Linked DNA regions of Cricetulus griseus. Each later gene encodes a partner of the first gene's protein in a complex. Links are inferred from orthologs where the notes say so. Each region holds a gene or a part of one and is shown in the gene's direction. Other genes may lie near its edges. The genes, in order: Tmem237, Tmem216, Tmem17, Cc2d2a, Tmem231, Tmem67 and Ahi1.

What was found.
Region 2: Tmem237 (region 1) and Tmem216 share a complex: the UniProt entries of both Homo sapiens proteins name them as parts of the tectonic-like complex. The link is inferred for Cricetulus griseus from reciprocal best matches to the Homo sapiens genes TMEM237 and TMEM216.
Region 3: Tmem237 (region 1) and Tmem17 share a complex: the UniProt entries of both Homo sapiens proteins name them as parts of the tectonic-like complex. The link is inferred for Cricetulus griseus from reciprocal best matches to the Homo sapiens genes TMEM237 and TMEM17.
Region 4: Tmem237 (region 1) and Cc2d2a share a complex: the UniProt entries of both Homo sapiens proteins name them as parts of the tectonic-like complex. The link is inferred for Cricetulus griseus from reciprocal best matches to the Homo sapiens genes TMEM237 and CC2D2A.
Region 5: Tmem237 (region 1) and Tmem231 share a complex: the UniProt entries of both Homo sapiens proteins name them as parts of the tectonic-like complex. The link is inferred for Cricetulus griseus from reciprocal best matches to the Homo sapiens genes TMEM237 and TMEM231.
Region 6: Tmem237 (region 1) and Tmem67 share a complex: the UniProt entries of both Homo sapiens proteins name them as parts of the tectonic-like complex. The link is inferred for Cricetulus griseus from reciprocal best matches to the Homo sapiens genes TMEM237 and TMEM67.
Region 7: Tmem237 (region 1) and Ahi1 share a complex: the UniProt entries of both Homo sapiens proteins name them as parts of the tectonic-like complex. The link is inferred for Cricetulus griseus from reciprocal best matches to the Homo sapiens genes TMEM237 and AHI1.

What each region holds. Positions count from the first base shown.
Region 1 is NC_048595.1:413,374,900-413,378,918, reverse strand, and holds part of Tmem237 (transmembrane protein 237), read left to right. Parts: intron 1-951; coding exon 952-1,072; intron 1,073-1,796; coding exon 1,797-1,954; intron 1,955-4,019. UniProt on the Homo sapiens protein: Component of the transition zone in primary cilia. Required for ciliogenesis.
Region 2 is NC_048596.1:49,912,833-49,916,119, forward strand, and holds the end of Tmem216 (transmembrane protein 216), read left to right. Parts: intron 1-889; coding exon 890-1,091; intron 1,092-2,059; coding exon 2,060-2,075; 3' UTR 2,076-2,622; downstream 2,623-3,287. UniProt on the Homo sapiens protein: Part of the tectonic-like complex which is required for tissue-specific ciliogenesis and may regulate ciliary membrane composition.
Region 3 is NW_023276807.1:84,237,556-84,242,236, reverse strand, and holds the start of Tmem17 (transmembrane protein 17), read left to right. Parts: upstream 1-1,514; 5' UTR 1,515-1,761; coding exon 1,762-1,861; intron 1,862-4,681. UniProt on the Homo sapiens protein: Transmembrane component of the tectonic-like complex, a complex localized at the transition zone of primary cilia and acting as a barrier that prevents diffusion of transmembrane proteins between the cilia and plasma membranes.
Region 4 is NW_023276807.1:112,267,904-112,272,707, forward strand, and holds the start of Cc2d2a (coiled-coil and C2 domain-containing protein 2A), read left to right. Parts: upstream 1-1,890; 5' UTR 1,891-2,028; intron 2,029-4,804. UniProt on the Homo sapiens protein: Component of the tectonic-like complex, a complex localized at the transition zone of primary cilia and acting as a barrier that prevents diffusion of transmembrane proteins between the cilia and plasma membranes.
Region 5 is NC_048596.1:188,336,422-188,340,913, reverse strand, and holds the start of Tmem231 (transmembrane protein 231), read left to right. Parts: upstream 1-1,519; 5' UTR 1,520-1,563; coding exon 1,564-1,702; intron 1,703-1,803; coding exon 1,804-1,973; intron 1,974-4,492. UniProt on the Homo sapiens protein: Transmembrane component of the tectonic-like complex, a complex localized at the transition zone of primary cilia and acting as a barrier that prevents diffusion of transmembrane proteins between the cilia and plasma membranes.
Region 6 is NC_048595.1:126,316,034-126,320,052, reverse strand, and holds part of Tmem67 (meckelin), read left to right. Parts: intron 1-398; coding exon 399-497; intron 498-2,829; coding exon 2,830-2,928; intron 2,929-3,124; coding exon 3,125-3,211; intron 3,212-4,019. UniProt on the Homo sapiens protein: Required for ciliary structure and function. Part of the tectonic-like complex which is required for tissue-specific ciliogenesis and may regulate ciliary membrane composition.
Region 7 is NC_048595.1:268,869,308-268,873,841, reverse strand, and holds the start of Ahi1 (jouberin), read left to right. Parts: upstream 1-1,655; 5' UTR 1,656-1,830; intron 1,831-4,534. UniProt on the Homo sapiens protein: Involved in vesicle trafficking and required for ciliogenesis, formation of primary non-motile cilium, and recruitment of RAB8A to the basal body of primary cilium.

The sequences.
Region 1 (4,019 bases):
CACTGTGACTGGAGTGTGACTCACTGATGGAGGACTGTTGGGCACTGTGACTGGAGTATGACTCCACTGACGGAGGACTGTTGGGCACTGTGACTGGAGTATGACTCCACTGATGGAGGACTGTGGGGCACTGAGGCTGGAGTGTGACTCCACAGATGGAGGACTGTTGGGCACTGTGACTGGAGTGTGACTCACTGATGGAGGACTGTTAGGCACTGAGGCTGGAGTGTGACTCCACTGATGGAGGACTTCGGAGCACTGAGCCTGGAGTGTGACTCCACTGACTCAGGGCTGTGGGGTACTGTGCGTGTGTCACCTGAATCTGGTCTGTTTGCTTTTTCCTTTTGCTGATTTTGCTTTTCTTCTTTGCTGTAATTACACTTTGTGAGTGTAATAACTTCTGAGTCCCTTGAGTCCTGACAGCAAGTTGCCAAATCTGGGGATACTCCAAATGTGGGAATTAGTGTTTTGTTTCAGACAGGGTCTCACTGTCTAAACCTGGGCAGCCTGCAGTTTCCTATGTAGTCCAGGCTGGTCTCAAATTCACAGAGATTGGCCTGTCTCTGCTTTCTGAGTGCTAGGATTAAAAGCATGCACCACTACACCCGCCCAATTTTTTTATTTAGAAAATTTTATACTTCTACACTGTAATTCCAAGTTTTAATGTCAACCAATATGGAAAAAATTTAAGAAATCTAATCCTAGCTGAGTGTTGAGACATGCCTTTAACAGCAGCTCTCTGAGTTTACGATTAACCTGGTCTGCACAGCAAGTTCCAGGGCAGCTGGGGCTACACAGTGAGACCCCATTTCCAACACCAGCTCTGCCTGTAGCAGAAAAGAATTGGTCCAACTGAAAGTCTTAAAGTTCTCCAGTCTCACAAAAGTCAGGAGACTGACTGCGTGTTGTTTTATTTTCACCTTGTAATCATGTGACGCATCTCATTTTCAGAGTTGGAGACTTCCTTCGCTGAAAAGCCATCATCTAGTCCATCTTTCCTACGCAATGAAAATGGTGTCAATGTGGAGCCACCGGCAGAGGCAGTCATTCCAAAACCACGAAGGAAGGCCAAGTAATAGTTTACTCACCCTTCTAGCTGTCCCTAGGAGCCAGTGCTGCTGTTTTAGATCCTAAAGAGTAGCTCCTCACTGGGTCTTGGAAAACACCGTATTTGTATGTGTTGAAATAAGTGATACTATAGAATTATAAGTTAAACCAATATATGAGAGATTTGAAAAGAATAGAACATTAAAAAAAGAAAAGAATAGTGTATGGAAATAGCTAAAGAGTCATCTCTAAAAAAAATATTTTCAAATAAGTTCAAAAGATGAGATAAGGGTTAACCATTAAAGATAAGCTACTGTGATTTGTTTTTCATGTTAATGGAATTTGAACTATTTTGTGATAAGCATAACTATTGTGCTCTAATATAGGAAGTTAAGTCTTATATAAAAATACAAGAGCATACTTTTAAAAATACCCTGGAAGTTATATAACATTGATGTTTGTACTTAAAAATTACTCTACAAACAGCAATCAGTTACATTTAGAGTTTAATGATATTAAGTCAGGAGCAATCTAGCCCAGTCCTTGACCATTTTGAGAAAACTGGGGTACACAGAAATGTGGGCACTTTGAGGAATGTACTAGTCCATAACAAATCTGAATAAACAGCATATTTTTATACTTCAAGTTCAGGAAGGACTCTTTCCATTATGTCCATGGGTAACTTCTTATGTGGGTCTTTAAAAATTCAGGAATGACCTATTTTTCTCAAAGACTTTTCCCAATTTCAGGAAAACGCAGCCAGCAGAGCTACAGTATGCTGATGAGTTAGGGGTAGAAGATGAAGACATAATTACAGATGAGCAGCGTACCCTAGAGCAGCACTCCAGGTTCACAGCACCCACGGGAATTAGCCAGCCTGTCAGCAAAGTATTTGTGGAAAAAAGCCGTAAGTAATTCTTTTTTTGGAATACAATTGCTCTAAATATTGTAGAAGGATATCTTTTACCTGGTAGTTGTAGTTCCAATGACCCAGGGCTGGAAAGAAGGCTCAGCCTAGGTTGTCAGCTAGGCTCACAACCAAAAATATTGTTCTGATGACCTGAATGAAGGAAATAATAAAAATATGAGCAAAAATTGACACACAAAACTGTTATTACACTATTTTTTCCAGCTGGATTTTATTTTTTACTGAAAATAGTTTTTCCCCCTATACAATATATTACAATTTCAGCTTCCGCTCACCCAAGTCAGGTGTTATCCATAGTAGCACCCTCTAGCTCCTGTGAGACCGGAGCTCTAATTGGGCTAGTGTCCACCAGACTAGCCCAGCTGGCCAGCAAGCCCTAGCAATTGTCTTGTCTCTGCTTCTGAATGCTGGGACTCCAAGTATGGCCACCATGCCTAACAGTTCAGGTAGGATCTCGGGATCAAAGGCAGATCTTTGTGTTTGGAAGGCAAGCATTTTACCAACTGGGCCATCCCCTCATCCCCTCTTTTTTCTAGCAGTGTTACCCAGAATTTTTATTCTGGTTTCCTTTAGTGTAAAACTTCCTTATTTGAGAAACTGATCATAAAAGGCACAAGTAGTTCTGTTGGCTATCTATCCAGTAATTTTTTTTTTTTTTTGAGAAAATGAGTTATTCTTGCATTCCTTCAAGATACCTGAGCAACGGCTTTTGTGAGGGTTCCTGAGATGGAATCCTGCCTGCTGAGATCTGGATTGTTGCATCTAAAGAACTGTCCTAAGCAGTGCAAGTGTGAAGTCCCACTCAGAATCTCAGGAGAACTTTATGAAATATCCCACAATATCCCACATCTTTCCTGCTCCTACAGAAGGCTGCGTGCACACTCCAACATCTTTTCCCAAGAATTAAAGTTTTCAAATAATAGCTTGCCTTGATAGTGTATAAACATTTTAATTTTTAAAAATTATTTATTGTTAGAAACCTATTGTTTTTTTATTTATGTGTATAAGTGTTTTGCCTATGTGTACCACATGTGTGTCTTGTGTCTACAAAGGTCAGAAGAGGGTATCTCATCCTTAGAACTGGAGCTATAGGTGGTTGTGAGCCACCACATGAGCCCTGGGAACTGAACCCAGGCCCTCTGTAAGAGCAGTAAGAGCTCTTAACCACTGAGCCATCTCTCTAGTTCCCAACATTTTAATTTTAATATTCTTAAAGTCACTAAATTACTTCTATAGACCGTCATGCCAAGGCTTTTAAATTTAATTCTGAGTTGAAAGTTGTATTTCACTAAATACCATTGACACCTAAAATTATTTATTTTAACATCAGCTTTGGGTTGTGAAGAAAGCTTATTGGCACTGCATTTTTTTTAAAGATGAAAAAATTGTATGTCTAAGCAGCCAGAAATGAAAGAAAAGAAAAGAAAAAAACTTATAATCAAGGAGAAACTTTAGATTAAAAAAGACAACAGCAGAAATTCAATGTTAGTTTCACCGCTTTTAATTTTTTAAGCATGTGTGCTTGTGTGGTGTATATGAATGACATGTGTGTGAGGTCAGAGGACACCTTTGTGGAATCAGGTCTGTCCTACCTTTATGTGCATCAGGGGACCAAGCTTAGGACATCAGGCTTGATTCGAGGCAGCATCTTTACCTCTGTAGCCATCTTGCAGGTTCCTTTTTTTTGTTCTTTGCTTTTAAGATTTTATTTATTTTTCTTTTTTTTATTAAATTATTAATATTTTCACATGTACTTTCCCTCTCCCTCTCCTTCCCCCCACCCCCATTCCTTCTCCCCCACCTCCAACCTACCCCCCACCCCATCCACCCACCACTCCCCAGGCAGGGTAGGGCCCCCAACCAGGGCTCCACCAAGTCCACCAAATCTTCCTGTGCTGGGCCTAGGCCCCTCCCCATGTGTTCAGAGACAGAGCGAATCCCTTCAAGTGGGATGGGCTCTCGAAGTCCCTCCCACCCACCAGGGCAAAACGCCAGTCCACCTCCAGAGGCTCCCAGGAGTGCAGGGGCCTCCCCATTGGCATCC
Region 2 (3,287 bases), on another chromosome or scaffold:
AGATCCTCTGGAACTGGAGTTACAGACTATTGAGCTGCCATGTGAGTGCTGGGAATTGAACCTAGGTCCTCAGGAAGATTAGCAATGGCTTTTAACCACTGAGCCATCTCTCTCTCCAGTCCCAAGTAGCAGATTATTAATGCATTTTCTTTTTTCTTTTCTTTTTTTTTTTTTTTTTGGTTTTTCGAGACAGGGTTTCTCTGTGGCTTTGGGGGTTGTCCTGGAACTAGCTCTTGTAGACCAGGCTGGTCTCGAACTCACAGAGATCCACCTGCCTCTGCCTCCCGAGTGCTGGGATTAAAGGCATGTGCCACCACTGCCCGGCTTAATGCATTTTCTATATTTTATTTTTCATTAGTTGAAAAGTATATATATATATGAGATATATACATCATAGATTTTATATATACAATTTTATAAGTTGTTGTTGGATACAAATGCATACATGTTATACACACACACACTTTGGTTTTGATATTTTGAAGCAAAGAGACCAGGATAATCTTGAACTTTCAATTCTGACACCTTAGCCTGGCTGCCCTAGATTCTCAATGTAGACCAGGCTGGCCTCAAAGTCAAGAGACCCACCTGTCTTTGCCTCCCATTTTTTTTTTTTTTTCCTTGATGCAGAATCCCATTGCTCCCTGAGTAGAGTCAGAATGGAAGCAGAGCCTCTGGAGTAAATGACATCAATTATGTAACACCCTGAAGCTTCAAATTTTTAGTTCAGTTGGACTTCACTTTTAAGTATGACATTCCCACTAAGGGTAGTTTTTCTCTGCTCTGCCCATCTGTCACATCCAGATACTTTCTGTGGTGAGTAAAAACAGGCTGATGCCAGAAAAAGCAATCACCATTTGGAGGTGACTCTGGGGGTTGTGTTTTTTAGGTACAAAGGGAAACCTCTGCCAGCGAAAGATGCCTCTTAGCATTAGTGTGGCCTTGACCTTCCCATCTGCCATGATGGCTTCCTATTACCTCCTGCTGCAGACCTATGTACTCCGTCTAGAAGCTATCATGAACAGCATTTTGCTCTTCTTTTGTGGTTCAGAGCTGCTGCTTGAGATGCTCACGTTGGCGACCTTCTCCAGGTATTACTGCTGAAGGCTGGGTCCCCCACCCAGGGATGGATGCATTGGTATTTGAAGGCCTGAAAGGTGTAGAAAACTGGATTTGAGGGGGTGTCTATGGAGATGCTTTTCTTTCAGTAGGTAGGAAGGTTGAGTGTGTGTGGTCTACATATATATGTTCACTTGTGTGCGTGTATACACAAATATTCGGGTAGATGGTTGTGTGTATGGGTGCATACGCATGTGTGCCATGCAGACCAGGGGTTGATATCAGGTATCTTCATCAATCACTTTCCACCTTATATATTGGAGAGTCTTCCACTTGAACCCAAAGCTCTCCAAATTGGCTAGTCCAGCTACCCAACATACCCCAGGAATCCCATCTCTCCTTTCATGGGTGATGGTCTTCATGCTTGGGTGGCAAGTACTTTTACCCACTGAACCATCTCCTCAGTCCCAAAAGTTTCTTTTTTAAGGAAGATAGTCTTCTGGTTCTTTTAGAGTTAAGAGCTTCAAATATGCAGAGTTAAAGCTAACAGCTGTTACTTAATGGTCTTTTTTAAAAAGTAATTTAAAATTTTTTATGTACATTCATGTTTTCCTGCATGTATGTCTGCATGAGGAATTCAGATCCACTACAACTTGAGTTACAATTTTGAGCTGCCATGTGGGTGCTTGGAGTTGAACCTGGGTCTTCTGGAAGAGCAGCCAATGCTCTTTTTTTTTTTTAAAACATTTATTTATTTATTATGTACAGTGTTCTGCCTGCATGTATGTCTGCAGGCCAGAAGAGGGCACCAGATTTCACTGGTGGTTGTGAGCCACCATGTGGGTTGCTGGGAATTGAACTCAGGACCTTTGGAAGAACAGGCAGTGCTCTTAACCATTGAGCTATTTCTCCAGCCCCACAGCCAATGCTCTTAATTGCTGAGCCATCTCTCCAGCCCCACTCACTGGTCTTTTAACAGTTTCTTTTTTTCTGCCTTTAGTATGGACAGGATCTGAAGTATAAGAATTCCAGCTGGTATAGCCCATCAGGATGACAGCCCACATCCTCTGGTACGTCAGCCACACTTGTGAAAAGTGGTAGGTCAAGTTGGCCTGGGAAAGGTTGTGTGGTTTTTCCTTAGCACAGACATCTGGGCATTGAGCACCTACCTGAGGTCAGTGGCGTCATCTTAAACCAGGATCATCAGCAGGAGACACGGACATTTTATGGTAGGGAGAGGCAAAGCTGTTGACATCTTGGGCTTCCTAACAGCTTCCTACTGACCTCAAGTTCTCTTCCTTGGTCATCATGGCCAGAGCTCCTTGTGTGGATTATATGGCTTGTTGGGCTTCCAGTAGGACGGAAGCCACAGCACTCTGTACATGTACCACATCTGTCCTGCATGAGCATGAAGAGCCTCATGATGGTGGCCTCCTAGGCTGATTCAAATACCCCCACCCCCCATGCTCAGAGATGGAGATCCAGAACCCTTTTAGTAGTTCATAGTATTTTTCTATTCTGATCATGAAGCAAACAGTTTTATAATAAACATTATTTTCTGATGTGGGGCTGGTTATGTTTTGTGTCTGGCACCTGTCTTTAAGTTTCATCTCTTCTAAGTGAGGGCATAGACTATCCCAACAGTGTGTTCTAAGGCTGTGTTTAGTGGTAAACTGTGACATAAAGATAGTGATAGAAGTCTCTCTCTGATCCTTACTCCTCATGCCCAAGTTGCAGCCTGAATGCCAAAAGGCACTGCCATCTTGTCTGTCTGCTTCAGGTCTGTCATTGGCAAAAGACTTTGTATATGTTCATCTCTGCCCCAAGTCTGCTTGTCTCAGTTCTTTCCAGCATAGGCCATGTGTAATAAGAAACTGAGAGAAGTATATTCTAAAACTGACCAAAATCTTTTTCCTTGAGTTAGCTTAAAAGGAACATGTATTTCTCTGAGTATTGCCATGTTATTTTATTCCAAGAAGCTACGAGGAGTTGTGAAAGTCCATTTTAGGACTCTTTATGTGCATCAGTGTGAAGGTATCAGATCCCCTGGAAATGGAGTTACAGACAGCTGAGTTGTAAGTTGCCATGCGGGTGCTGGGAATTGAACCCCGGTCTTCTGGAAGAACAGCTAGTGCTCTTAACCACAGAGCCATCTCTCAAGTGCCCCAGAAGGGCCTTTGAGACTGAATTCCTCCACTTTATAGGCTTAGAAGTGAGAAGTAAAAGCA
Region 3 (4,681 bases), on another chromosome or scaffold:
TAGCCTACATTTTTGTTTGTAGACTACATGTGTGCTTGGTGCCCATGGAGGTCAGCTACTGCTAATCCCACTGATCGAGAAGACCACTACTACAGTTTAAAACCAAATTTAAAGCAAGCTTTAATTACATACTGGCCAGGTCCATCTCTGGGTTTCCAGAAAATGGCCCTGAGTCACAGTTAGCAGTGGCCTAAATATTTCCCATCAGGTCCAATCAGGAGCAAGCATACATCATCTAGACGTATTTCCTGCCTGTGAACCTCCCACCAACATGTGATCAAGCACATCTGGTGTAGATGGGTCAAACAAATTTGTTTGGGGGAGTGAAAAACTTGTGGCTTGTTGTCTCCCATAAACAGTGGCCTCTAGCATTTCAGGAACTATTTGTCCTTGGGCAAGGGGATTGCTGATCAATGGCATTTTGTTTCATGGATCTCTACGGCATAATAATTAAAACTTAAAATGTAACTTTGGCTCTCACAGTATCTGATAGAGTCACAGGTGGTTGTGAAACACCATGCAGGTAATGGGAATCAAACCTGGGTCCTCTGCAAGAACTACAAGTGCTGGTAACAGCTTCAACAACTCCAGTTCCACCACACTTTACCAGAAAGATTAAAGGATGGAATATAAGTGTTGGTAAAACACACAGAGTGGCAGGGATGTTCATATGTAGCTGGAGGTTAGACAATTTGGAAAGGTGATGGCAGAACCTAACAAAACTGGTTTTACATACTGTTTGACTCAGCCTCTCCACTCCTGGGTACACATTCAGCATATACCTGTGGGTATGTTTACCCGCTGGCACTTTCACCAAGAGTGGTGCCAGCCATACCTGCTCCCAACTACAAAATACACAGGTTCATATCCACAGCTTGTTGATAAGCTTGTTGGTATGATCATAAATAGGAAGAAAACCAATAAAAATGTTGATGGCAGAGTCAGGTTTTTTCTTAAACTTTTTCTATGCAATTAGTCTACTATAAAGTATTAAGTAGGCCAGCTGTTCCATCAGCCACTGAAAGAGGTAGCTATAAGGCTGACTGACTCGGGTCCTAATGCAACTGGATTGTGCTTTTCTGTAATGTCTATTACACTTAAGGGTTTGTTTTGGTTTGGTTTTTGAGGTTTTACAATGTAGCCCAGGCTGAGATCAAAATGGGGATCCTCCTTAGAGCTAAAAATGATACATTGTAAGTGAAAGCAAGAAAAGGCTGATTTTTTTTTTTTGAAAGTTTTAAAATAACCCATGATCCAGAAACAACTGTTCTGTACTTTGAGTTACTTCCTTCCCTTCTGAAGCAGGTGCACTTGGTCTAACCTAGTCTTACCCCAGATTGTATATACCCTTAGAAAAGAATCTCTGGGAGGGGCATTCTTTAAGATCTGTGCTCGTTCTTCATTTCCCTCTAGAGAAGAAGCACCAATTTTGCAAACAAAGTGGCATGGTGTGAGGACTCCTTGTGGCTCAGCCCAGGCTGGAATGGCTTGTTACATGTGAACATTTTAAGACCCGCGGCTTAAAAGGCAGGACTAAGGAACCCGCCATTTGCATTACCACGAGGCTACGTTCAGCTGCAGGCCCAGCTGCCTCTGCTCGCCCCTCCAAAGGGAAGCCTCCGGAAGATTCTGGACCGTGCAGGGCAACCCGGGCACCCACTCCCTAGCGGCTGGCACAGCCCCGTTGCCCGGGGAACTGCAGCACGCCGCTGCGCTGGCTGATTAGCGGGTGTGTGCGGGGCGAGGCCGGGCAGGCCAGGCATGGAGCTGCCGGACCCTGTTCGTCAGCGCCTGGGCAACTTCAGCCTCACGGTGTTCGGCGACTCCAGCCGCACCGGGCCGGAGTCCAGCGAGGCGGCGGGTGAGTGGCGAGGGCGCAGGCCCGCGCGGGGGTGTGGCTCGCGGGCGGACGCACGGGCCGTGCCCGGGTGAAAAATGGCGGCCTCGGCTTCCGCCATGGCGCATCCCCCGTGCGGGAGGCTGCCTGCGGGCCTGCGACCCACCCGGGCGCTCGCGAGCCTCAACCGCGGGGGCGCTGTCGCCGAGAGAATTGGAATACAGAGCAGGAACGCCTGCTTCCCGACACGGGCCCCCGCTGCGTTCCTCCGTGACGCCCGCCGGGCCTTCCAGGCCAGGCTGAGGGGAGAGCGTCCGCTCCCACCCCGACAATAGCTTTGTTGTGTCAAACCCCTCCTGGCAGGATAGGCTCGTTCCTCCCAGCCAGCCTCCCAGCCGGGTACAGGGAAGAAAAGGGGGTTGCTTTTTCATTGAATGAGCCTTTTAAACCACTGTCCACACGACTGGCGGCTGCCAAACTAACGTGGCCTTCCTCGGCCTGCGCCTTCTTCCCGGCTCCATCCAACACTGGGGTCAACACCGTCGAGTTGACCACAGTGTCAGCCTCCTCGATCTTGACTACAGCATACGTTTTCACCAATGAACTCAAGGAAGGAGAAATCCTTTCTCCAGATTGGTTTTGGCTACTGTTTAAAAGGGAAAATTGAAAAGCAAAGCCACTTCCCATCGACCTGAAAAATTAGATTTCCATGCTTCTAAGAGCCTTAACTTGCACTGAGGTCTCTGGGGTCAGAGTGCAGTTACTGGAGAAATTATTTGTTCTGCAGCTCTGTAGGCTGCAGAGCCTCAGCCTTAGGTAGTGTTAATTGTTTGGATGCCAACATCGCTAAAGACCAGAAACTGGAAATTCATATGGTTTTCATATATCATATAGTATTTTTCCCAACCATTCAAATTCGAGAAAAGCTGTTTAATTCACTGTCTCTGCCAAGACAGGTAATTAATTGGTTAGTGAAATTTGCCTGTCCAATATATAATGCTTTAATTTTATCTCATTACAGAATTCAACTTGAACTTTTGTAAAATTTAATGAATTTGCATCTTGTGCCTCATTTATATTTTGGCCTGATTTTTTCAATTGCCTAAGTTTGATGTGTTGAAGTATGGATGTGACACTACAGAAAATAAAATAAAAGCCCTGGCATGCTAAGCAGTCACTCTACCAAACTATATCCCCATAGGTTTTTAAACAACAACGACGAAATTGTTGTTGTTGTTGTTGTTGTTGTTGTTGTTACAGTGCAATCAAGAAGTGCCTGAGCTGTCCTGAAACTAACTTGCTGTGTAGCCCAGACTGGCTTTGAATGTGAAATACTCCCTGCCTCAGTTTCTTTGCAAACATTTAGCTAGTTTCTGCTCTAAAGGCTCTGAAAGTGTCAGCTTAACCAATATATAATTATTTTCCTGTCTTTTTAGTGAGTTTAATATTAGGCTGTAAAAATTTTTATCACCTCACCTCACATCCACCTCACCTCACATCCACCTCACCTCACATCTACAATCATCTCACTTCCACAACACCTCAGCTCCACAACACCTCTCCTCCACAATCTTCAGAATTAAAAGATTTTAAAATTTTATTCCTATATTAGGGATAATTTAAGAAATTAAGGCAAGTAAAAGCAGACCACAATAGTCAGGCATTCCCTTAAAACTTAAAGGAAACTTGTGGAATAGAATATTTGTTTAACTCTGTGAAGATGTGTTGCATTTGTTTTACCTTGCCTGCCTAACACACCTGATTGAGCTAATAAAAAGCTGAATGGCCAATAGCTAGGCATTAAAGGGATATGTGGGGCTGGAGAGCAGAAAGAATACTTAGGAGGAGGGATCTAGGCTCAAGAGAGAAGAAAAAGAAAACGAGGGAGAAACAAAAGGAGACACTAGGGGCCAACCAGTCAGGCAGACAGGGAGGAAGCAGGAAAGTAGGACATATAGAAAGAAAGGTAAAAATCACTGAGACAAAACATAGATGAAGAGAAACAGGTTAAAATAAGTTACAGGCTCTAGTGGGACAAGCCTAAAGTAAGGCCAAGCATTCATAACTAATAACAAATCTCTGTGTCATGATTTGGGGGCTGGTGGTTCAAGAAAGCCTGCTACAGAAACTTTTGCTTCTAGAGGCCATGCTTGTCTCAAAAAGCATTAGATGTCAATTAAAAAAAAAAAAAAAAACTATGCAGATAAAAAGGAAAAAAGTTACAAAGTAATTTATGTTAGTATCTTTCTAAATTATTACATTTAGAGAAACCGATTTAAAATAAGAATGTAGTTAAGTTTATAATGTGTTTTCTAGGGCTCAATTTTAAAATCAAATTCTTGTTGTGGGACCTTTTCCCTTATACAAAAGCAAAGATATTGGGTAATCAATCTGATAAATGGAATTTGTGTGTCACAAATGGCTATATGTATGTCATTATGCGTTTGAAATTTGTTCTTTCTGCTTATGCATGCATAGTATTCACAGTGTGTAAAGCAAAATTCCGAATAGGAAATGTAAGTGTAAATCTGTGCTTACACTGAGACTGTGTGTATACAAATAAGAAAATGAAAGGCTCTGTTTGTTGAGTATGCCTTAAGTATGATGGGCACACTGGTAAGAGTGAAATAACCTTACAGGCAGGCAGCCTTTGAGTGGTGTTATCATTCCAGAGACGATTAAATGAATGCTCAGAAAGATGTAATATTATATCCCAACTCTGGCACCTGATTCTCTTGGCTTCTGTCTTAGAGTTTCTACTGCTGTGAAGAGACACCATGACCATAACAACTTTTATTTTTTTTATGTTTTTTTTTTTATTTTTTGGTTTTTTGAGACAGGGTT
Region 4 (4,804 bases), on another chromosome or scaffold:
GGCCATGGAGGAGTGTTGCCTTTTCCTTGCTCTTCATGACTAGCTCAGCCTGCTCTCTTATAGAACCCAGGACCACCAGCCTAGGAACAGCGTCACCCACAAAGGTCTGGGCTCTCCCCATCAATCACTCATTAAGCAAATACCCTACATGCTTGCCTACAGCCTGATCTTATAGAGAGGCATTTTCTTAATTAAGGTTTCCTCCACTCTGAAGACTCGAGCTTGTGTCATGTTGAGATAAAACTAGCCAGCACACTCCATAAGGACCCTACCTCTAAATAATGTCAGACTCTATGGGATTAGGAGTGAAGATATCAATATAACATTGGGGGTGGGTATTCCATTTCCTCAGTCTCATATCTACCTGCTCCACATCACATACACCACACAAACATGCCTACTCATATGTGCACTGCAAACACATGTGTTTAAAAGTGAACACTGCATTCACTGGTACTGTGAGTCATGCAGACATAGACATGGCTGTCACACAGACCCCTCAGAGCAAGAAACATCTTATAGCAGCATATCGTAATGGATATAAATTTGTTTCTTGGGTGGGTAAATGCTTGCCCTGGATGAATGCCTTCATTCAGGTCCCCAGCACCCACATAAAAAGCCAAGTGGCTGCAGGCATCTATAATCTCAATACTGGGGAGGCAAAGACAGGTGATCGCTGAAGCCCGTTGGCCAGCAGTCTAGCCAATCAATGAGCTCGAGTTTCAAGAAGAGCCCCTTTACTGAGATTTTCCCCTGGAAGTAGGACTGAGGCAGGGTGAGTTTGCAGGTGGGTTTACAATGGGATAACTGGAATTACTTCATTGTGTTCTGGATGGTAGAGGTGCTCCCAACCACATGGCTCCAGAGTGATGACTTAGAGCAGGGGACTTGGCTTGGTGGATGAGTTTAATAAAGATGTAGTAGGAGGTGCCAGCTTGGGGTCAGTTGTCTTGTATCAAAGGAGAATATATACATTTCCAAGGAAACTTTTGCTGTCTCTAGGAATTGGTTAGCTTCGGAGATCTGTCTGTCTAAGGTCAAAAGTGATGAATGGGAGAGCTTCAGGAACAAAGAAAACTAGGGCTGAGAGATAGTTCCATTGATAAAAGGACGTCTTTGAAGGTGACTGAAGTTCTGTATGATAGCCCATGTTTATTTTGTCCGTGCCAGGGAAGCTAATACATGTAGATGTCTGGAGCTTGTTGGCCAGACAGCCTAGGCTAATCACCAAATGCCAGCTTCCAATGAGAGACCTGGTTTAAGAGCCAATATGGGAGGTTTCTGAGGAACAACACCTGAGGTTAAGAGGCTTTGCTCTCTGCCTGTCCTTGCTCTGTGGAGGCCCTCTGTCTGCTCATTACTCTTCTGCCTACTTTTGCCTTTTCTCCCACATCCTTTGCTTTTTTTTTTTTTTTTTTTTTTTTTTTGCCATTACATTTGTATCCCTAATGGGCCATGTGTAGTGAGAACCAGCAGAGGTTAGGCTGTCCTACATTCAGGCTTCCATACACAGCCTGCAAACATCCTGGAGCCCTGGCACCCCTCCATAGAGGCATCACTGCTGTTCCATGCAGCATGGACCACCATGATTCTAAATCACTCTGCTTTCGAACACCCTCTGTCCTTTACCTGAGTGCCATGCAACCCGGTGGCATGATACAGAGCACCCCCCTGACAGCCTGCATCCTCACTGGCCAGCTTCTCAGTGGTTTTTCCTTTGTCTCTCTTCAGCAGGTTATTTTTCCTCTGCTCACCCAACAAGTGCATATTCCAAGACTTAAAAGTAAACTGTCACTTTAAAAGAAAAAAAAGCTGCCTAGTGACCCTCCTTGGGAACCGGTTGCTAAGCTGGTGTTTTTGTCCTGAGATGTGGCTGCAGCTTCACAGGGAGCAGCCTCCCTTACCCCCCAGCACACTCCTTCACTCATTTCTAAAAGATTGCCTGGCTTGACCCAACTGGTCTCTCATCACATGCGTCCAATTCCAGAAAGTGGAATCTGCAAGCTGAGTTTTGCAGAGTGGATTAAGGTAAATTAGTTTTTACTGGAACCGGGGCTGCAACGTCAGTGTCCTGCTTTCATCTCCTTTCAGTTCCGGAAGTCTTGGAGGTCAGCCCCTCCCTGGGAGCCATGAGAGTGGACTAAATGCATTATAATTTTAGGGATTCCTCCTTTTGTTTCGCTTGCAGTTTTGCTCTCTGAACGGAAAGTAGGGGTGCTGCAGGAACAGCTTTTATTTCAGCTGCTGTCTGGTGTGTCTGGTTTGCAGGGGAAACGCCAGCCAGTTAACCGAGAACCCCTAGCGCCGTCCTCTGGCCAGTGTGCTGCTAACCACTGGCATTGCATGTTGCTTTCAGGCCTTGGTTTAGAATGTTCCAAGGGCGTGGGTGGAGTCAGTGCTGCAAACTTCACTTTTCTTGGTATTGGACAAAGAGCTCTGAATCTGCCATACTCTAAGAAAAATCTACAGGCTGTCAGTTAAACTGACTGCTTTCTTCTTTGCAAAGATGTGCTATGAAAATCTAATAAAGTCTAATGGGAAATACGTGTCTACAATTGCATTTTCTACAAATGTTTCTGCAAATAAGTGTAATGCCAGTATGATATATAGAGAGAAGGGAGGACTGTATATGGATAGAGGAAATGTGTGTGTGATGTATATATTCATATAGATAGATATACGTAAATCGATCTAGATATAGATATTTGGCCTAGAGTTCATTTACAGCCCTAGAGTTCATTTACAGAGTCATTCATTTGAGTTTTTATTGAGCATCAATAATGCAGCAGATGATGAATTCAACTTTACATTGTACAAAAATAACTTAGATCAGGTCAATGCTGGGAGTTTGCTGGGGAAGCAGATGCATGAACAGATAATGAAAACACCCATGAGCTAATGCCAAAAGAGATTTGTAAAAAGGTCTAGAGCCTGATGAACAGGAGGACTGAGTCCAGGGAGGAACTTCCAGCACTCCCATTCCACGGCTTAGGCCAATCCTGCAGAGCACACCCTGTATACTGAACTGCACGCTGCAGCAAATAGTGTCATAACCATCTGATCGAATGACCACACACAGCTATGTCTCTAACCTGTACTCAAGAAGCTGTGGCTAGAAAAATTTGTTACATAATTAATCATAAAAGAAGGCATATGACAGTTCCTGAGATTCCCCAGCTTGAAAGGGAGGGGTGGGAAAAGCCTCTTGTTTCTGAAGAGAGAAAATGAGCATGGGTAGGAAGACCGGCGCTTCCAGAAACACTTAAAATAGACAAAAAAAAGCAGGTGGCCTGGGCCTGGCTGCAGGAAGGAGCAAGCAGACTTGATTATGGCTACTGCCACTGTTTGAAGATAAAAATGAAAGAGAATAAGAGTAATGGGGCTTAAACACCCTAAGGCTTTTCTTACGATTCTCCTGTGTCCCCAAGGTCTTTCCTCCCTCTCTATCCCTTTCTCTCTTTCCCTACCAACCAAGACCTCTGCTTGTGACCATCCTGGTTAAACAAGACACTCAAAAGTATCGATTCTCAACCAGTAAGTCACAACCCTCTTTGAGGGTCAAATGGGTCACCGAAAACCACTGAAAAACACAAATATTTACATCATGATTGATTACTAACTAAATTACAGTTATGAAGTAGCAATGAAAATAATTTCATGGTTGGGAGTCACCACAACATGAGGAACTGTATTAAAGGGTTGCAGCAATAGAAAGGTTAAGAACCACTGATTGAAAGAGACACTTGTGTCTCTCCCTTCAGCTATCAGACTATTAAAACTATAGACTCTAAGAATTGGATTGCCGCAGTGTCTCATGCTGGGAGAAGGAAAAGGTCTGGGTTTTGGTACCAGCTGGAGGGAGAACTTACCTCCAAGAAAGACAGTCTGACAGCTTGTCAGTCACCTTGCAGAAAGAAGATACTGGAAGTGATGGACAGGACCACACCTTGACTAAGACTGCTTAGTTATGTATATTTCCTGGTACCTTCTAGTCCAACCTAATTTCATGTTAGGACCCTAGACTTTGGGGGTCAATGAACTCCTTTGTTCTACTTCCTAATGTCACTATATTGAATAAGTCCCCTTTCTCTGATTTTTTCATTATTTGTCTCTTTAGCTGGCCTACTGGGGGACTGGTGGCCAAGCCTATGTTATTAGGGTTGCCAAGGCTCAGGTTCAGACCCTAACTCTGGCAACATTCTTAATAATAAAACCCTAAAGCCTACCAGGTGACATTTTATTACAATCTTTGTAGTATGGAGCCCATAATAAACCTTCTCCCCTTGAGACAGGAAGTATGATTGTGCCTTTACAAAATCAGCAGAGTTGCTCCAAGATCACACAGCTGCTGAAAGGAGGAAAATTTGAACCCTTGACTATACTTTTTTTTTCCATAAAGCCCTCACATTTGAAAAACTGTAATTTCTCTGTATAATACACCATCCTTTTGGAGCAGTTATGATTGAGAAGTGCCTCTTTCTCTCAGTTCTTCTCTGCATCCTGTAAGGTCATCATGGGGATCCTTGAGATGACTCTGATGAGCTGAGTTTAGAGAGTCCCATGGTCAGATACAGTGTGGGAACTGCCCTTTTAAAATGTGTTGGTTTTCTGTACTGTGTAAAATAGATTACTAGTGATGCCTATGCCCTTCCTTACTGCTATAGTATTTGTGGCTTTGCACTGTAAGTATTTTCACAATAACGAACTAATATACAAATAGTGATGGTTACGTTGTTTAGCAAAGAGTGTGGTTGGTGCCTGGGGACCGGAGACACCTTGGAACTGCCAAGTGCTAAGGTCAGAC
Region 5 (4,492 bases), on another chromosome or scaffold:
AGCAGTAGATAGGGAACTTCGCTTCCTCTTGAGGCTGTTGCATCAGCTAGTCAGACAGGGTCCTTTTCATGGTTGGATAAATAATAAAACCTTGCTTTTACAGTTCAGTGGGTCTGTCTCCCTGGTGGTCTTTGGGGATCTTTGAGACTTGGGCACAACACTTGTTTTAGTGCAGTATTTATTTATCTATTTATTTATTTATTTATTATTGGTTTTTCAAGACAGGGTTTCTCTGTAGCTTTGGAGGCTGTCCTGGAACTCACTCAGTAGACCAGGCTGACCTTGAACTCACAGAGCTCTGCCTGCTTCTGCCTCCCGAGTGCTGGGATTAAAAGCATGAGCCACCAGCACTTGGTCCCTTTATTTTCATCTTATGCATATGGGTGTTTTGACTGTATGCATGTGTATGTATCATGTGTATACAGTGCCCAGAGAGGTTGTTGGGTCCCCTGTGACTGGACTTAAGGATCCTGTGAAAGAGCAGCCATTCTCTCCAGCTCCTTATTACATGTTTTACTATATTTATTTACTTATTTACATATGCAGATAAGCACCATGACATGCATGTGAAGGTCAGAGGACAGCCTTTCCAGAATTAAGATGTATGTTTGGAGCCGGGGGATGGGGGCTGGAGAGATGACCCAATGGTTAAGAGCCCTGATTGCTCCTGCATCAGACCTGGAGGAAGGAGAAGTGAAGGCCAGCCCAAGCTACATAGTAAAACCCTATTTCAAAATGGATAAACAAGGGGCTAGAGAGATGGCTCAGAGGTTAAGAGCACTGACTGCTCTTCCAGAGGTCATGAGTTCAATTCCCAGCAACCACATGGTGGCTCACAACCATCCATTATGAGATCTGGTGCCCTCTTCTGGTGTGCAGATATACATGGAAGCAAAATGTTGTATACATAATAAATAAATAAAATCTTAAAAAGATTTTAAGATCTTTTTAAGGGGTTGGGGGATGGGGGTTAGGGTGGCATACACCCTTAATCCTAGCACTTGGGAGGCAGAGGCAGGTGGATCTCTGCAAATTTGAAGCCAGCCTGCTCTACAGAGAGGGTTCCAGGAGAGCCAGGGTTACACAGAGAAATCCTGTCTCAAAAAAAACAAACAAACAAACTGAAAACAACAACAAAAGACCAACTTTCTCCCATGTTGAAATAATAGTAGTAGTAAGTACTCACATAATAGATCAGCAAATGCTAACGTTGGAGAATACAGCCAGGCAGTCGTGTCCCAGGCCTTTAATCCCAGCACTCGGGAGCAAGAGGCAGGCAGAGCTTTGTGAGTTCGAGGCCAGCCTGGTCTCCAGAGCGAGTGCCAGGATAGGCTCCAAAGCTACACAGAGAAACCCTGTCTCGAAAAACAAAAACAAACTAAGTACTGGGCTCTTTCTTGTTGTTTTCTTGAAGGGACCTCAGGCACCGCATAAAATGCATCTACTATCTAATCCTGCACAGCCTTCCGCTAGCCCCACCCCTCCTAAAGGACTGCTTACTTGTTATTGGTTCCTCTGGCCGCTGTGGGTTGCCGTGGAGACTCGGCGCTGCGGCCTGCGCTCATGGCGTTGTACCAGCTCTTCTCCCATCCGGCCGAGCGCGGCTACCGCGCGGGGCTCTGCTCCAAGGCCGCGCTCTTCCTGCTGCTGGCCACCGTGCTCACCTACATCCCCCCTCTGCTAGTGGCCTTCAGAAGCCACGGTGAGCCTGCCCGGGCTTGAAGAGCCACATGGCTCGGTGCGGCCCGCTGGCCCAGGCCGGCTTTCCTGACCTGGCTCCCCAACCCGCCTTGTCTCCCGCAGGGTTTTGGCTGAAGCGGAGCAGCTACGAGGAGCAGCCTAGCGTGCGCTTCCAGCACCAGGTGCTACTCGTGGCCCTACTGGGGCCCGAGCCCGGAGCCTTCCTCGCCTGGAGCACGTTCCCCACCTTCAACCGGCTGCAGGGGGTTCACCTGCGAGTCCCGCTCGTGTCGGTGCGTGGTTCCCGCCGGGGTTCTGGGGAACAAGATGGGGGCGAGTTCCAGGGATCCCAGGTTGGATTGGGGCGGGGGGGGGGGAGTAAGGGGGAGGTCTCAAGTCTCGCAAGCTGATCTTAAACTATATAGTCAAAGACCGCCTTCAACATCTGGTTTTCCGGCCTCCACCTTCCCAGTGTTGGGATTTCAGGGCTGTGCGCTTCGCTGCGAGCACTTTATCATTGAGCCACACTCCCAGCCTCACTGCTTGGATCTCAAGGAGCTACAGGGGTTGGAAACACAGTCTTTGGCCTGCGCATGTTTAACTTTCTAGATATCTCCAGAAAGTCAGCCATGTAGTTGGTGTTTGTCTAACAAGAGTCCAGATGCCAGAGCACAGCCTGTTTCTGGTGGTGGTCACTTCTGAATGGAAAGGAGGCAGTGAAAGCCCCTTTAGGGAATTGAAAGCCGAGTTTGAGCATCACCACTTCTGTAAGGGCAGAAAGTGCCAGCGGATTTATGCAGACTGGACGCGGGGATAGGGGCGGGGACAAGCGCTGATTGGTTGCGTTTTCGGCTCCTGCTTTGGCCAAGCCATGCCTGTCAGGGTTAGGCTCACCGCACTCTGCTCCACTTTGCAGCTGTCCTCCATGAAGCTGAAGCATTTTACTGCCTGCAGTTTAGTGTTTACTTTCACGTAAATCAAATGCTCCCTTACAGGCATCCCTTTCCGTTCGTATTCTGAAAATAGTTTCCTTTCAAACGTGAATCCTTTCAGATATGGCTGGTTATTAGCCTTATAAGGAAACTTGTGTAGCTGATGGGGGAAAAAAATCGGACTTTTCCACCAACAGCTAAATAAGAGCTTTAAAATATTAAAGTCTTGTTGGTCATGTGAATAGCAATACACAAAATATAACCAGATTACTTTGCTCTTTAATGTGTGTGTGTGTGTGTGTGTGTGTGTGTGTGTGTGTGTGTGTGTGTTCCCTCTGATCACTAACCTGTAGACTCATTGTGAGATTAAAAAGGTACAGGTTTATACATGATGACAGAAAAGTAAAGGTATCAGTACTTGTTAACCAACCTTATTATTTTTAAAGTCTTTAGATTATTTAATGACATGGGCAGAATGATAAGTTTAACCAGTTATTTGTTGGTAAGTATTTTGTCACAGCAAGCACAAGCTCATTCTGTCTCACAAAACCATGGCCCTGGCAGGTGAAGTCAGAGTACAACTCGGAGGAGTCAGTTTTCTCCTTCCACCATCTCAGGAATCCAGCTCAGATTTTCAGGGTTGGCTGCAAGGGTCTTTACCTGCTGAGCTATTTCACTGTCCACCCTTTTTTTTTTTTTAAATAATTTGCCTCAATTTAATTTTTTTCACTATTAGACTTTTTTTATTTTTTTATTTTTTGAGACAGTGTTTCTCTGGAGCTTTGGAGGCTGTCCTGGAACTCACTTAGACTAGGCTGGCCTCGAATTCACAGAGATCTGCCTGTCTCTGCCTTCTGAGTGCTGGGATTAAAGAACTTAGAATTAATATCTAAATAACAAATTTTTGACTAAGCCTTATGCCTTTTTCATTCTTTTCAAGATGGATTATTGTTATCTTGCCTGCCCAAGCTGGCTGAAGCAATAAGCCCCCTTCAGTCTTCTAAGAAGCGGGCTATAGGCATGACCGCTTGTCCAGACTTAAACCATACACCTTTAAATGTCAATGGAAGATGTCGTTGAAATTTTATGCACACAAAGAAAACGAAGCAAGCAAATAAAATAATTGTTAACTTCAGGGAAATAAAACACAAGAAAATGCAAAGCAGGAAATTCGGTCGGCATTGTGAACAGGACTGGCGAAGTCCTGATTACAACAATGAATACTGACTGACCGAAATATGAATCTAGCTCAATTGAAGGGTTGAGAGAGGGATGTATGTGATGAGGGTTGGTAGGAAGAGGGGAACTCAGGCTCCAGCTTTGTTCATGGAGTGTCAGTAGAGAATACTCCAGACAGAAATGGAGATACACCCAAACAAATGTTATCAAACACCTAGGAAAGCATTTCTACACACACTCATCAAGTAACAGGTAAAAGGTTTTGCTGTGGAAATCATGTGGTTTTTATAACACCACTGATCTCTTTTATTCTTTAAATGACCAGTTCTCTTCCCCCACAACACAAACACATACCCCCTTTGTTATTTTGAGATTGTGTGGCATGTAGCCCAGGGTAGCTTGGAGCTGAGGATGACCCTAAAGACTTTGAGCTCCTGTGCCTGCCCCCAGCTGAGATTGCAGTCATGGGCCCACCATGCCTGTTTTTATTACTTACTTACTGTGGTTCTGGTGAGCCAACCCAGGATCTCAAAATGGCTATGCAAGTGTTCTGCCCACGAAGCAACACTCCCAGGGCTTTGTGGTTGGCCATGAACTGGTGATCCTTCTGCCTCCTTTTACTAAGTACTAGGGTTACAAGCAAGGACTACCAAACTGTCCCCATTTTTTTTTTCTTGAGACTCTAATGCAGTGGTTCTCAA
Region 6 (4,019 bases), about 290 Mb from region 1:
CCTCTAATACTGGTGCCCACTGGTGATGCTCGCCTGTAGGATAATATCACTGTGGTATTTGCCAGATGTTTTTTTATTTCCTTCATTTCTTTAGAATTGAAGGATTGGAACTTTATTATAAGCCAGAACTTTCCTTTTACCCTCATTAATATTTATTCAGTTATTTACTTAAGTCAATATAATCTCATTGATTTTAAGTGATTTTTTATAATCCATTACTATTCATTTTCTTGTACAATTTTCCAAAGTTAGTCACTGGAATTTCTTACAGCTTGTCTCCCATGTCTTTTCAACCACTTGCCATCAATTTTTGAGTAACTTCACATTCTATTTACCATGGGTTTTAGGAGCAATGAGAGGAATTATGCAAGTTCTAAAATGTTTGTTTTCTTTTCTAGATTGCATTGGGCGTGTTGGGTGGGCTGGCTGTGTTGTCATCTCTTTTGAAGACGGCAGGGTGGAAGAGGCGCATTGGGAGCCCCATGATTGATTTACAGGTACAGTCGGTTTTGAAATGAATGTTTTTATGTTTTAACTATTCTAGATCTTTTCCAGAAGATACAGGTAGAAGATGAGTAAGCGAGCTGCCTTTGATTTTTCTGGAGTATAAGTTAGGAAAGGTATTTTGAGGTCATAGAACATATGCAACTTCACTTTCTTTCCAGGATCCCAAGGTCTCTACATTCCCACCTCCATTTTTATTTTTGTCTTTGCTAATGCTTGATATTTTTCAACATTAACATATTTGTACATAAATAAAGTGGCATGTGTTAAGATGTCATTGTTGATTTTATTTTCTTTATTTTGTTTTATTATTCATACATTTATGTATATAGTGTTTTTGCTTGCATGTATGCCTGTGCATTACATACTTGCCTGTGCCCACAGAGGCCAGAAGAGGCACCAGATCTCCTGGAAGTGGAGTCAGAGATGGTTGTGAGATGCCATTGGATGCTGGGAATCGAACATCTGGAAGAACAGAAAGTGTTCTTAACCGCTAAGCCATTTCTCTGACCTTTTATATACTTTGTAAATGTTTAGGCTCCTTTTTTGTGAACTATTTAGATCTCTTGGTCATTTTTCTACTAGGTTCCTTCTTTTTCTTATTTATATGAAGGAGCTGTCTTTTCAAAATATTAATTTCCTTCTGGTTGTTTATGTTGAAATCTTTTGTGCAAGTTTATGAGCTACCTAATATCCATGCCTTTAACATTCAATATATAATTAGTACTTAACATCTAGTTCATGTCTACACTGTCACATGAATTTTGTATGTGTTATATATATTATGTTCTTTTTGTTCAGGAAAACTTGCCCACTCAATACCAAAAAAAGATTTTACTCCATTAACTTTATAGTTTACTTCTCATTTATTTTGAAATTAATAAAAACTTTTGCCTAACATTTATTGAATATTTACTATGCACAGGCACATTCTTAAGCATTATATGTATGGTTTACTTAATCTTCACATAGCCTTATGTAGTTGGGCATTATTATTATTCCCATTTTATATATAATAAAAATGAAACAGAGCTTAGATTTTCTGCTTAATTTTTGCAATAATTCAGCAACAGTGTTATTTCTGTTTTGCAAATCAAGCACATGAGAATGGTTCTGTAGTAATTTGTTTAGCCAGTGTGATAAGGAGTGAGAGCAAAGGGCTTCTGCTCCTCTTTGGGACAGCCAAAGAAGGACTTTCATGGAAGTAAACTTTAAACTGTTTATTCCACAGTGGTCACCCAGGGTCTGTTGTAGACTGCCAGGTACTGGGGAACATGACAGAAACAGCTACAACAGATCCTGCCCTCAGAGCTCATGATAGAGAAAGGGAAGGACATTTGACAAAAGGATGACAGTTGCTTTCCATGAAGTATTCAAGATGGAACTGTGAGTGGAAACTAGCATGTGAGCAAAGGAGAAAGTTGACTCTGGTTGATACTGTGAAGGATCTTGTTGGTAAAGAATTTAGTGAGTAGTCATTGTATATTTTTAAGAAAAAAGTGACTTAATCTAATTTACATCTAAGAAAGCTAACTCTAGGGTCCAGCATGAGCAAGCTTCAATCCTTTTGTATAATACATAATAATATAATAATAACTATGAAAATATATAAGATAGATTTGGGTAGTGATTCCCAACTAAGGAAATTTGCAAGTAGTTTCCACTTTCTCTTAAAGTGAAAGAGAAATACAACAGTCAAACTCAGTGGGTCTTTGTAACTGTTAGTGTATGGATGTAAATGGCCAATATATTAATAATATTAGAGAGGCCCGGTGATTAAGTGTGTACTGCTCCTGCAGAGGACCCAGACTCAATTCCCAGCATCCACCTTGGGCAGCTCACAACCACCAGCAACTCCACTTGCTGGGAATCTGACACCCTCTTCTGACATCAGGCACCTGCACTCAGATGGGCACAATTCTACAATAATAAAAATAAATAAGTAAGAAGTAGTAGTACTCATGGGCCAATAAGACAGCTCAGTGAAGTAAGGGCACTTGCCACAAAAGCTGTCAGATATGGGTTCTATTTCTGGAACCCACATAAAGGTAGAAGGAGAGAACCAATTCCAGAAAATTGTCCTCTGACTTCTAATGCATTCCATGATAGTTAACACTCATGCATACAGATCATGCTCACACCCAGTAAGAAGAAAGTATTTTATACTTTAAGTTCTTAAATAAAATAGTACTTTTATTATTCCCATTTTATATATGATGAAAGTGAAGTAGAACATATTTTCTGCTCAATTTTTCAGCAGAAATAAATGTAATAGGCAGGTAATAAATGGAATCTTTAACAATTGTAATTCTTTTTAAATTGTAGACAGTTATGAAATTCTTGGTGTACTATGCTGGCGACCTGGCCAATGTGTTTTTTATCATCACAGTGGGAACCGGTCTCTATTGGCTTATTTTCTTCAAAGTGAGTAAGTTTCTGAATTTAAACTAAATGCATATATCTGAATAACTGGCAAGCTACTTTAATAACAGAACACTTTTAGGGACATTTCTGTTCAAGTTCTGGGCAGCTGCTGAGCTCCCCACCCTTTGGTGTGTCATTTACTGAGGTTGTCAATATTTGCCACACTTCTGCTTCCTTTATACACCATGTCTTTTAGGCACAGAAATCTGTCTCTGTTTTGCTGCCAATGCCAGTTCAAGAAGAACGTTTCGTTACTTACGTGGGGTGTGCATTTGCTATGAAGGTACGTTTCAAAAGACAGCTTACTCAATTTCAAAGGCCTGCTAAAAAGCTTGTGAGTCTTTCAAATTCCAGATGCATTCATGACTTTTAGTGAAAATTTTACTTGGGAAATGTGCCTTCATTTATAATATTCCATTTAAACTTATACCTTAAGTTGTTTTTTTTTTCAAAGAAGTTGCAAATATGCCTGAGCAATCACAAATTGCAACTAATTTGATAAAATGATATTCAATGTTTAACTTTTCCTTTAAAATCTGGCAATGTGTTCACAATGGGACAAAATACCTTCCATTGTGGATTTTGTTTCTTTGTTAATGAAGAGTAAAATCCAACTCTGATGAAGTGCTGGAATTGTAGAAGCTATTATTACTCTTTCCTCCTCATCTTTCTGTGGTGTCCACCCCTCAACATGTCCTCATCCACACAGCTGCCAGCTGTTCACATCCCTCACCACACTTGCTGTTGGAAGTGCAGTATCTGCTTCACCCACCGAGAAAATAATTCTTGAGGACAGTTACCATCCTGTACTTGGATTTTATCATTTGATCAGTAATGCCCCAGGGATGAGAACTAGGTTTAAACCGACTGCTTCTGTAAAGGAGAGAGATGTGTTTCAACAGCACTCTGCTTCTCTCTCAGTCTGAGGGATGGAAAAGACAATCGGGGCATCTACTGTGTTCACGAGGCTTCAAAGCTCACCTTACTCATAATGGAGTCAGAAAATGCACAGAACCTAGAGGAAGGGAGCCATTTGAGCAAGGTTCCATAGGAGAGAGGAAGAAGGACAGCTCCTCTTCTTCATGTTCCTA
Region 7 (4,534 bases), about 140 Mb from region 1:
AGGGTCAGAAAGGGTGTAAATTGCTTAGCATGGCATACATAGTTCAATATTACATAAAATTATGTGTAACATGTAATTCGATTTTGTTAATTTCATGATGTACATAATTTTTAAATTGTGTAAAATTGGAAAAAGGAGGTAATGAGAGAGAAAACCCAGCGAGGTGGAACATCTGAATCTGTGGCAGTGATTAGATATTCTCCTTTGAAGTAATGTTTAAAAGAGGGTGGTGAGTCAGGGCTACACAGAGAAATCCTGTCTTGAAAAACAAAATAAATAAATAAATAAATAAAATAAAATAAATAAAGCCGGGCGTTGGTGGCGCACGCCTTTAATCCCAGCACTCTGGAGGCAGAGGTAGGCGGATATCTGTGAGTTCGAGGCCAGCCTGGTGTCCAGAGCAAGTGCCAGGATAGGCTCCAAAGCTACACAGAGAAGCACTGTCTCGAAAAACCAAAAATAAATAAAAATAAGTAAATCAACAAACAAAAAAGAAAAAGAGGATGGTAGCATTAGTAGCTTCACATTAGTAAGGTTAGCCTGATAGTGGAGTGAAAGAAAATTAGTCAAAACTGGAGTCAGGACACAGGTAATGAGGCCAGTTCCCCATAAGATATACTGGCAGCTTGCCTTAGGCAATGGTAATGATGGATAAGCTATATACAGTGAGGACACTGAAAATATAGGTTTGGGGGAAAAAAATTAAGAAACCACCTAAGGGTTTCTTGCTAAAACACTGAAGAGATGGTGATAGCTTAAATCAAGATACTCAGAAGGGGAAAATTGAGATTTTTCAGTGGAAAACCCAGCAACTCAACGTTAGGCAGGCTTTAGATTAGTGATTTTTCCCCTGGTCTCCTCATTGCACTTTGAGAACCAAATGAGATGTTTTGTTAGGTATGATAATACCAGTGAGAATGGAAAAGCTGGCCACCAAACAAAAGCACGCACTACTGTCACCACACAAAGGACACAACAGGTTGTGTGGGAGGACAGCTGCAGAAAATGGCCTCTAATTCTAGTGGAGCGAATGCTGCACCTAGTATTTTTCCACTCCTGCTGTGACTCACAGCCAAAGATGGCGCCTCAAGAAGAATCGAGCAAAGGGGGAGGGGGGCGTTGGAAAACGTGACGTTCTTAATTCTTGTTTTCACCACAGTCAACAGCGCCAGCGGGATTGCAATCTCGTGGGGATCCTCATTCACGCTTAAAAGCACGATTCATTTTGTGGGCGCACGATGTAGGGGGTGACAAGTCTTCCTGGACTGCACTGCATTCATTCACCCATTCATTCATTCCTATTCATTCTTGTATGTTTTCTACGCTGGGCGCGGGCCCGTCAGCTTCCACCTCTGCTTCTCCCCACAGCGCTTCCAGTCCTGAGGCATGACGCTTCTCCCGAGGCGATGGCATATTGCCCTCGGAGAGAACGAGCACTCCTGACCCACTTCCGGCTCCACGGGCGGAACCTCGGGCTCCCGCGCGCGCCCGCGTCAGAGCGCGCGCACGCCGGACTCTCAAGAGCCCGCAGGCACGAGCAGCCGACAGCGCTCGGCTGCCGCCGGGGAGGGGGCGGGGCCTAGGTCCAGCCCGGAGCTTGGGCCTCCGGACCCAGTTACCTAGGCAACGGCAGCAGAGGCGAGCCTGACGTCAGCGGGCGGCGCGCAGCCCGCACTGCGGCACCAGGGCCCCTCTTCAAAGCGCGCGTCGCCAGCGGTTGAGGCTGCCGTGCCGGAGTCTCCGTCGGGCCGCCTAGCTGGGCGCGGGGAGCCGCTTCGCACTGCCGGGCTGTCGCTCGGGCGGGACAGGCCGCGCTGCGCGCTCCTCTCTGTGAGTACCCTGCGGGCGCGCTGTGTCGGGAGCCGGGGTGCGGGCGCTCGGCCCTGCCGGCCGGCCTCTCGGGGGCGGCGAGGGGGCTGCTGGAGGCCGGGAGCGCGGGGCAGCACTGCGCCATGCAGGTCGAGCTTGGCCTGCGCCCCGCGCGCGGCCGAGGATGCCGCTGCGAGCTACTTCTGCCTACTCTCCCGCTCTCCTGGTCCAGGCTGCCCAGCATGGTGCTCCGATGGAGGGGATGCAGCCTCTTCCTCTCTGCTCGCAGTGCGGGCTTAATTAAATGCCCCTCAAGTTGATGCGTACCGAGTCTATTTCCTTTTAGATGTCATCCTGGTACTAAAGGACGTGCTGTTCTCTTAATTACTTACATCTATGAAGAGTGATCGATGGGTCCTATATGGAAGAGTCAGGTTATATCGATAGGATCATTTCAGTCTGTGTAAACCTCCCCGGAACGGAGGCTACTTAAAAATCTACCAAATGCTTGCTCTGCCTTTATTGTCACTATAAAAACATCCCCCGAAATGTTCCCTCTCCGTTTTTTAAAGAAAAAGATGCTAACAGGCTTTTCACCTGTTGCATAAATGACTGCATGAGCTTTCAGGAGAAGATGTTTGTTATGAGGTGGATGGGGAATTTTTTTTTAAGGATATTTGAAACAAATTCAAATGCCAATAATTTTAACAGTATTTAGAATATTATTTATTTATGAGGATACCACTGACTTATTGGTTGAATTATGCTGCTTTTTTTCTTTGAAAATTTGTTACAGAGGAGGAAATCATCAAGTGCGTATGCTTTTTTTCTTGCCTTGATGTGTAGGCGTGTACTCCATGTTTTTCCAGAGCAGGGAGGGAATGTAATCCGGTTAATTTTTCTGCGTAGTCTCGCATAGGAGCTTCTGTAAAGCTTCTTCGGATGACGAAATCTTAAAATAATGGTATAATGATATCTAATATCGTGTATAATAATTTTGAAAATCAAAAAATTGTCCTATAAAATCATATATACAAAATTGGAGATGTTTTATTAAACCTAACCTTAAATTTTGGTGATGTTATTAAATATCAGTTATTCTGTTTTTCTGTAGTATACCTTAACATTAAAAGATGATTATTTCTGTACTGTATTTGCTGTGTTATCATTAAATATTAGTGTTTAAAAAAATTAGTGTTTATTCAGTTGTGCCTCAAAATATCAAACAATATTAGATTTATATAAATATATTAAATTAATCGTGTGTTTTCTTTTTTAATTATTTGCTAAATGGGCATAAAGCAAATTTACTGAGTACCTGCAATGTGTGATTTATTTTATTTTTATTTTATTTTGCAATTTTTTTCTCCTTTCAACAAGTAGGTGCCATTTTAAGATCTTAGACATTTTAAAAAAAATTTTTAAAAAAACCAAGGCCTAGTGAAATTAATACCTTATCCAAAGCCATTTATCAGTAAATAACAGGATGGTACTAGAATCATTGTTAATTGCTTCTTTTTCATTTTAAACTGAGGCACAGACCTGGCCCTCCAGAGGCTAGCTCTGTGTGTGTGTGTGTGTGTGTGTGTGTGTGTGTGTGTGTGTGTGTATGTGTGTGTGTGTGTGTGTTGGGGTGATGTCACAGAATATAGCATTTTACAAGGACGAAAGTTGAGGGTTTGAAATCAATGGATTGATGAAGAACAGAGTATCTTGTGGAGCTGGTATCGAATTCAGGATCTTGCAGATGCCTGGCAAGCATTCTACCATTGAGCTACATCCTCAGCTTCCCCTCCCCCACAACAAAGAAAAATTCCTTTCCAGATGTTTTTATCCTTCCAAGGTGTAAGAAAATTCTAGAATGAATTTATCTACATGCCTCTCTCACATATCACATTCTTTAAACCTGTGACTGTCAGCTTTCTGTAAAAAGCTATGGCACATGTGACTTCCTGATTATAAATCTATAGTAGGTAGGCATCCTTCAAAATTTACAGCATCTTTTGACAGCATACAGTATAGATTATTTTCTCTGTGTAACACTCCATTTTCTCATTTTTTGAAACCAGTCTCCTTGAATTGTTTTTATTTTGCAGGGTTCAAAGTTAACCCTTTTGGCATTTTATGTTACCGAAACCATTACATATAGGTGATGCCCAAATCTGCAGCCTCTACCTATTGGTTTAATACATTCTACTGCCTGCTAAACATAGTATTATGCTATTATTTTTATTAAACAATGTTATTACTGCTATATTTGTATATTTGAAAGCTTGCTATGTGACAAATATTGTACCAAGTGTTTTGCTTGTATATTCTTATTTACTGTTTATAAAATCTTACGAGTGATTTACTCTTAGTCCCTTGACAAATTAGGAAATTGAGGTCTACAGATATTAGTCTCTTGGAAGATGAAACTGGAATTTGAACCCAGGAGTCTGTTAACTAATTTGATTCTTGTAGTTGCTTAGTACTCCTTCGATGCCCAGTCAGTATGCCTCACACTAAGCTAAGTGCCCCATGAGAATTACCTATTATAAGTGTACCTATCATTTATTGGTACTTATTTAACTATAGTAAATCATATAATTATTAGAATTACCCATAGAACAATGAGTAAGCACTGTTTACAGGCAAAGTTTACAAATAAACAGATGCATGAATGTCTGATGTCACACAGGTAGCCATGGGAAACTAATTCTAAGAGTTGGGTTTAAAACTATTC